2 linked regions of the Rattus norvegicus genome follow. The protein of the gene in region 2 interacts with the protein of the main gene of each other region in a biochemical or structural test. Links are inferred from orthologs where the notes say so. Each region holds a gene or a part of one and is shown on either strand. Other genes may lie near its edges.

Region 1 (3,816 bases), on a different chromosome or scaffold from region 2:
ACATTTTTGGCACAGATTAAAAAAAATGTATGTCAGGGAAATTTGATTTAAGTCAGTATTATATATATTTATATATATTATATATTTATATATACACACCCCAAGTTCTGCACATCCGACCAAGAAAGAAAATCCTTCTGTTCGCTTTTACTCAACTGTAAACTGTACATCCGGTGAGTTGAAGGTGGCGGCGGCGGCGGCGGCAGGAGAATTAAGAAAGATGACTGTCTGATGAGCAGGGTAAGGGAGGAGGAGGGGATGGGGCAAAAACCCAATGAAATGTTCCTGACCCCAAGGTTTCAGCACAAGTCCCAAGTCCTGCATGAGTCCACGGCGTGCTCAAGTACACGGCCAGAGCATCGCAGCCCGTGTTGACTTGCGAGTCACTAACTTAGTGCAAAGGCTGATCCATTCTGTTTAACAAAACAGAAGAATCCCACAGCCCGGTTCCTTTTCTCCAGGTGAGGAGAGAAACCCAGCCCCTAAGGTTTCTGCGAGTCCATGGGTCGGTGGTCTGTCCTGGGCGAGAATTTCATGTAAACATACAAGCAGCACCACCCCCAGAGGAGGTCGATCCATAGAGCTGGGCGGGCACGAGGGCGAGGGCAGCTGGTGGCGCCTGGCAGTCTGCCCCTCAGCAGCTTCCCCTCTGCCTGGCTGGGTTGTCCATGGTTCTGTCCTGTGTTCATTTTTTTATTTTATTTTATTTATTTATTTATTTTTTTGCAGCAGAGCCTCAGGAAAACGCCCTGAGGTGGCGACCATTCAGAGCCTCACACTGAGGCAATGACAATCATGAGGTGGGGAGAGATGTTGGAGATGCTGGCAAGGAGGTCAGGGGCCAGCCGGGAGAGGTGGCTCTCGGAGAACTCACAGGGTGGGAAGATCTGCAGCACATAGGCGGGCTGGGGAAGGAGAGAGAGAGTGGGAACCACCATCTTCCGTGACCCTCCCACCCCGCTTGTGCCTGGTAGGCAGGGCATCAGGGCTTGGTGCCATGTTACCAGCTCTACAGTTCAAGGTGTACACTACCCCTCCCTCAGCTGTCCCCTAGCCCCCCTCTCCAGGATGGGCAATTGGTGGCCATTACCCATGTTACTTACATGCCCACCTCCTCTAGCAACTCCTGGGGTATTCTGGTTAGTACGAGAATATCCACCCTATCTGGTAGACCAGCCCTCCTGCCCTGCCCTAAACCGGTTCTACTTGGGAGTAGGATAGGACAATGGACCAACCTGATTGGAGCCAGGATTGGGGACATTGATAATCCCTGCTGCTTGCTTGGCCTGCAGGTAAGTGATAAAGGCAGCCTTGAGGGACTCGGTCTGGCTTACGACATCCTCCTGGTCACGGCCACAGGGCAGAGCCAGCAACAGGCAGTAGTCTGTTTCCACCTGCAGCAAAGGGGAATGGTTAGGGATCTCCTGACTAGCCAAGGTGCTCTATCTAAGATGGCTGTCACAACACGTGTGTGCCCTGAGAGCATGTGCGTGCGAGCGCTCTCGCGGTCCTGAGGTCTCTACCCAAGCAGAGCTTCTCTCACTGTCTGCTTCCAGAGTTGTCGCTGCTGTGTCTTCTTGTCCCTCCCTCCCTGTGAAGTGCATGGGTGTTTACCCGGCCCACACTTACTGTCATCCTCCTGGCAACTCCTTCCAGTTGCGAGGCCTCCAGTCGCATCCTTTGGGCGATCCGCAGCGGGGGGCCGCCTTCAGAGAGGGGCAGGGAGCGGTGAGCCAGGACGTTGTTGCCAGAGACAAAGTGGAGCTGCACAGCAGCTGTGTCGTTCTTGAGGGCCAGCAGGCCCTGCCACACGATGGGGTACTTCTGCTTAGCAGGACAAACAAGAGAAACAGGGTCACGGCTTGTCCAGCATGGCCCTCAGCAGCCTGCTGGTCTGCGTTAACACTTAGAACCAGGTCAGCACGTCTTGAGCAGCCTCTGCCATCTTACCTTCAGAAGCTGGACCATATCCACGGGCCTTTGTGGTGTCCCGTGTGGAGCAGAGTCTTGCTTTGGGGCTGGCTGGGCTTCAGCATGAGGCAGAGCCAGTCCGGGTGGGGTGCTCGTGCCTGAGTTTACGGGGACAAACAATGGCTGCTTTGGGGCAGCCTGAGAGGCAAGAGGGGTTGGGAGGTCCGGCTTCATGGCGACTGACACGGGGGAGGGATGGGCTGGTTGGGGGGTTTCCCCCGGTGCCCTCTGAGCCTGAGCATGTGGCTCAGACGGCCTGTTCGTGGGCATGGCTGGGAGGCGAGTCTGCTCTATCCCTCCTGTCTGTGTCCCCTTGGCTTCTTGGGAGACCTGAGGAATCTTGCCACTTGGTGGCTGGGCAGGCTGGCTGAGCTGGGAGGGCTGGCAGGGTGGGGCAGGTGGTACAGGCTGTGTGGACTGCGTAGATGGGGCAGGCTGTGCAGGCTGCGTAGACTGCAAGGGCTCACTTTCGGGGGGGCCCTGGAGTTGGGAAGAAGACAAAGGGACAGTCAGAACTGGCTGTACAAAAGCCCCTGCTCCCAACAAGAGCTCAGTGGGCCCAGAGAGAGGCACCTGTGTCTCACGGGTAGTGGAGCTCACCTCATGTTAAGAAGCACCGAACATACTTCTCACCCTACAGGTAGGAGCCCTTGCACAAAGTATCTGACCCACTCCCCACCTCGACTGTCCCCCTGCCTTTCTAAGGTCTATTTACTTCATGTTCCTGAGTACACTGTAGCTGTCTTCAGACACATCAGCAGAGCACCTCGGATCCCATTACATATGGTTGTGAGCCGTCATGTGGTTGCTGGGATTTGAACTCAGAACCTCTGGAAGAGCAGTAGTGCTCTTAACTGCTGAGTCATCTCTCCTATCCCCCAAACTTACTTTATTGAGATCTACAGTGTCCCGGAACCTGGCTTCCTCACCTGGGCCGAGGTCTTGGTCCTGGAGGGTAGGTTGATGGAAGAGGCGACAGGAAACTGAGTATGTGTGAGCTGAGCAGGGGCGTGGTAGGTACGGATGTCGCCATACCTATACTCTTGGAACAGCTCCCCGCTGGAGTGCACAATCTGCACCCCGTGGGTTACCACCACAGGCGGGGTCAGAGGCAGCCCCTGAAGCTGGCTGCTGGGGGTGACTGTGAGAATTCGGGCCTCACCATGAGGGGGTGGGGCAGGGGTCGGGACAGGGACAGGGACCGGGACGGGGGCTGGAGCTGGGACTGCTTTGGCATCTGAAGTCTTAACCACTTCTTTCACCAGTTGCTGGGGGGCCTTGCTGGCTGGTGGCACCTTCACCACGCCCTCTGTGGCCCTGGGCTGTTCACTGACAGCAGTCACATGTGGATGCACCATGATCCGGACGTCTCGGGGCACGGTGTATGGGTGTAACCGGTACTCGGACTGCATGACCAGCACTTCTGACTGCACAGGGGCTGCAGCTCGAGCCACAGGGAGGTGGTAGTGAACTTCTTCCTCGGGAGGGTGCTGTGTGGCCAGCGCGGGCACAGCAGTTGTGGCTGGCTGGGGCGTGCTCACACGCTGTGGGGCCCTTGCTTCTATCTGTTGGGGCTGCAGAGGGGCCCGAGGAGAGTGCAGGGTCTCTGGCCGGATGCTGTAGGTGATGCTGGGCAAGGTGGGTGTGCTCATTCTCACCTCGCCTTGGGACAGGTGACCGAGAGACACGGTCTGAGTGATGCTGTGGGGGGGCATGATGACAGACTGCTCTGGGTGTATGCTGGAGATGAACTGTGGCACTGGAATGCCTGCAGCCAGCATGACAGTTGCATTGGTGGAAAGCGCTGTGGATGTCGTGCTGCTGGGATGGCAGGCCCTTGGGAAT
Region 2 (3,816 bases):
TCCCAGCAACCACATGGTGGCTCACAACCATCTGTAATGGGATCTGATATGCCCTCTTCTGATGTGTCTGAAGAGATCAACAGTGTACTCATATACATAAAATAAGTAAATAAAGGCAGCAGCAGGAGGCAGCTTCCTGGTTGTCTTAGTTGTAAATTAGATTTCTATTGGGAAACTAATCCCTCATTTTCTGCTTCGCAGCATTGTAATACTCAGATAGTAATGAGAATGGATCTCACAGCTTCAGTTTTCTGCCACCTTACCTTCATCCTTGCTGGGAAGTAACTGCTGACACATGATAGATAGAGCATGGGTCTGGGCATAGTAGTCTTGGCTAACCGACACCAGTCCGAAAAAGTTACACAGAGAAGGCTCTGTTTACTGGCTTCCTGACAGTTTTGTGAATTTAGAAAGCAATAATAGTCAGTATACTGCTTTTGTTCAGGAGGACGGCTTATTCATTTAATATACTCACTAATTCAATATTTTCTCGTAATATTAAAGTTTTAAAAATGATTCTGATCTCAGTGACTACCCAGCATCCAAAGCATCATCCAAAAGCTATCCCTTATTTATTAGCTCTTTGTTGGCTATTTTGGTATTTTTGTTTTATATTTGACACTAGGATAAGAGTGTTGAGGGTAGTGAACTAGGAGTTAGAATTCTTAGTCACATTTAGTCATGTTTAAGAAGACCTTAAACCTAACCTTCAAGTCTGGATATTTGTCTTTAGGTCAACATTTATAGTTTTTTAGTCAATACCATATGTTGACCATGGACTTTAGATAAGGCTTGGTGCAATATTTATGACAATAGTGACAATAGTTAGTGCTTGTTGTAAAAGAGAACAGTAAACCATCTTAAATTATGACCCTTGAGCTTTAAAAAGCATGAGTTGATCTATTTTCCTGTTAAAATAACTTCTGGAGTTAAATACAGCAGATTGCATGCTTAGCCATTCAGATCTTTAATGAGTAGATGGGCAGTTAATAAAAAAAAAGCCAGGGATCTCGCTACCATTATGTCTAACTGTTGGCTGAACTAGATTTTAACCAGTTCTAGCTCTCAGTCATTCACCTTCAAGTGACGTGATCCTAAAGCCATCTAATCAATAGGGTCATTGACTGTCCCTCCCTGGATCCTGGTACTAAGCTCCTTGGGGGCTGTCTCTGCATGAAACCCTTCCTTCTGTCCAGTGTTAGACCTTATTATAGGAGTCCTGGGTGTTGATAGGGCACAAGTGCACATGTGCTGTGAGGAGGTAAAGGAAGGACTCCCTTCACCACCAAGGACCCAGGCTGTGATCTGTCCCTTCACTGAGCTACCTCACCAGCCCTTGTCCATCTGCTTTATATCTGCTAGACATACTTTCTTTCCTGATGTAGGTTATACCTAATAATGCTAGGGCTCAAAATGAACTGATCTGATCTTAGGCCTTTCCATTTCCAAGCTCAAGTTCCCTTGTTTAGATACAAATCTTAGTTTTGTCCTGTGACTGTCTGCTCTAGTACATTAACTTTATCTTATGTTCCAAAGCAGAACACTTTCAGCTTTGACCTTTAGTTAGTGCTTGGAAAATATGAGCCTAGCTATGTATGAATGTATGCCATATCTAAGTGTGTAAGTGGACCACCACTGCGAAGGACAGTTTATTGCAGTTAGCTTTTATTGCTATTGTCTTATTTTGCCTTTCAAAATTTAGAATGTTCGAGATCACATTTAAATTTTCTTTATGTAACTTTGATATAGAGACAAACTATTGTAGAACTTTTATCTATTACTAACAGTATATATTGATAAAATTTTAAGAACAAAGACCTAGAATTCACTAGCTACTTTCTAATGAGTGGTACTTGTTCTGCATTTTAAAAAAACCCATAGCAGAAGTAGTTGAAATAAAATTTAGACATCATTTATCCTGTTTGGTAAAAGAAGTCAGTATTTTGGCCCAGGCCCCTTAGTTTGTGGTGATTAAGGAAATAGGATGAGAGCTTTAGAGCTGTTACCCACAGGTAAAGTTGTAGCATTTTAAACATTTCGGCAAATGCATGTTTCCTTTTGTACCCTTAAAATAGTTCTTTAGTATATCCTTAAAGAATCCAGACTGCGGGCTGGAAAGATGGCTCAGTGGTTAAGAGCACTGGATGCTCTTCTAGAGGTCCTGAGTTCAAATCCCAGCAACCACATGGTAGCTCACAACCATCTGTAATGGAATCTGATGCCCTCTTCTGGCGTGTCTGAACACCAGTGTACTTATATATAATTAAAAAAAAAAATCCAGAATGCTTTATGCTCCCATTCAGTCTAGCACGATTTTCCTTAGTTGTAAGTGGTTACCACAGCATTCAGACATACGAACAGAAGCGTTATTATGAGCCACTTTGAAACTGTACCCAGTAGGGAGCTTTTTACGTGCTTTACTCTTACGATAGGTCTATTGCAGGTAGTCATGAGCTTTACTACAAGGATGCAGTACTTGGCTGCAGCATTGAGTGGTGATTTCTGAAACCTAGACTAAAACAAAGGAGTAAATGTGGGCCCTAGAAAGACTGTGTTGAATTCTCTGTCTGTGTGTGCGCCTGCATGCAGCTGATGGCCTCAGATCACACTGTGCATGGTTCCGAGCCACCGTGTGAGTGCAGCGGATTGAACTCAGGCCAGGACCGCTGGAGAAGTCTAAAGCATGTCTGAGCAAATGTAGCCACATCATTCTGAGCTGAAGGCGCATAAGTAACCAGCAAGGGTTTCCCGCTGTTACACTTTGCTTTTCTTCTACAGAACTACTGCACAGCCAAAACATTGTACATATCTGATTCAGACAAGAGGAAACATTTCATGTTGTCTGTAAAGATGTTCTATGGCAACAGTGATGACATCGGTGTGTTCCTTAGCAAGCGGATAAAGGTCATCTCCAAACCTTCCAAAAAGAAGCAATCATTGAAAAATGCTGACTGTACGTATGCTCACGCTTATTTGATCCCAAATCTCACATTACATGGCTGAGACAAACATTTGAAAATTTAAAGGTTGTTTTGTCAGTAACCAGTTCCTTGTTAACTACTAGTTTTTGGCCTTACTTACTATGTTTTAAATTAAAGTATGAATGGATATTGTTTGGCCTAATGAAGTGATTGATCTCAGTTATAGTGTTCTGAGAATCTCAGTAACTTCCTGAGGATTACTTTAGCATGGTTTCTTACTTACTGTTTCCAGGGGCATTTAGGGAAATGGAGGGGTTTTTGCTCTTTTTTATCAGGGTGACTAGGTAGGAAGATAATGCTTTACTCCAGTGATGCTAAATGTCCAAGAGTCCAAAAGCACAGTCCTTTGAGAGCGACAGAAGTGCCCACTTATAAACGCATTCTGGTGTGCTCTGGGGAACAAGCCGAGGGAGGAGCGAAGGTCTGCACAGCAGACACTGCTGCTTCATTGGCAAGTTACAGTTGTGTTCTGTCTGCGGTGTCTGCAGTTCAACACACGTGAGCTTGCTTGTCTGACTTTCTTCTCTTCAGTTTTTATTGAGTAAACTTTGAAGAAGGCAGCATGATGCAGCCGTCTCCCCACCCACAGTGGGTTCACTAGTTCACCGCTTCCCCTTTCTGAGTCTGCAGCGGGGGCATCAGAGCCTCAGGCATCCTGTCCTCTCACCTGGCTTCTGTAGTAGCGACGCTAATGCGTGCCTTCTGACGTCACACCTCACGTCATACCTCTCTTATTTTTTTTTTTAAATTAAGTTCTTTGATTTTGTTTGTATTAATAGTTTGTAATGCAAAGAACTTGTTGCATTTTTAGGATATTTTATGTAGATTTTTTTCA

Evidence for each region.
Region 1: the proteins of Rbpj (region 2) and Spen form a complex in vitro, tested with the Homo sapiens proteins (2 studies listed by BioGRID and IntAct). The link is inferred for Rattus norvegicus from reciprocal best matches to the Homo sapiens genes RBPJ and SPEN.

Annotation. Positions count from the first base shown.
Region 1 is NC_086023.1:159,058,521-159,062,336, forward strand, and holds part of Spen (msx2-interacting protein), read right to left. Parts: coding exon 2,901-3,816; intron 2,452-2,900; coding exon 1,951-2,451; intron 1,828-1,950; coding exon of another isoform or gene 1,825-1,827; coding exon 1,630-1,824; intron 1,395-1,629; coding exon 1,236-1,394; intron 906-1,235; coding exon 774-905; 3' UTR 1-773. UniProt on the Homo sapiens protein: May serve as a nuclear matrix platform that organizes and integrates transcriptional responses. In osteoblasts, supports transcription activation: synergizes with RUNX2 to enhance FGFR2-mediated activation of the osteocalcin FGF-responsive element (OCFRE).
Region 2 is NC_086032.1:61,559,575-61,563,390, reverse strand, and holds part of Rbpj (recombining binding protein suppressor of hairless), read left to right. Parts: intron 1-2,778; coding exon 2,779-2,953; intron 2,954-3,816. UniProt on the Homo sapiens protein: Transcriptional regulator that plays a central role in Notch signaling, a signaling pathway involved in cell-cell communication that regulates a broad spectrum of cell-fate determinations.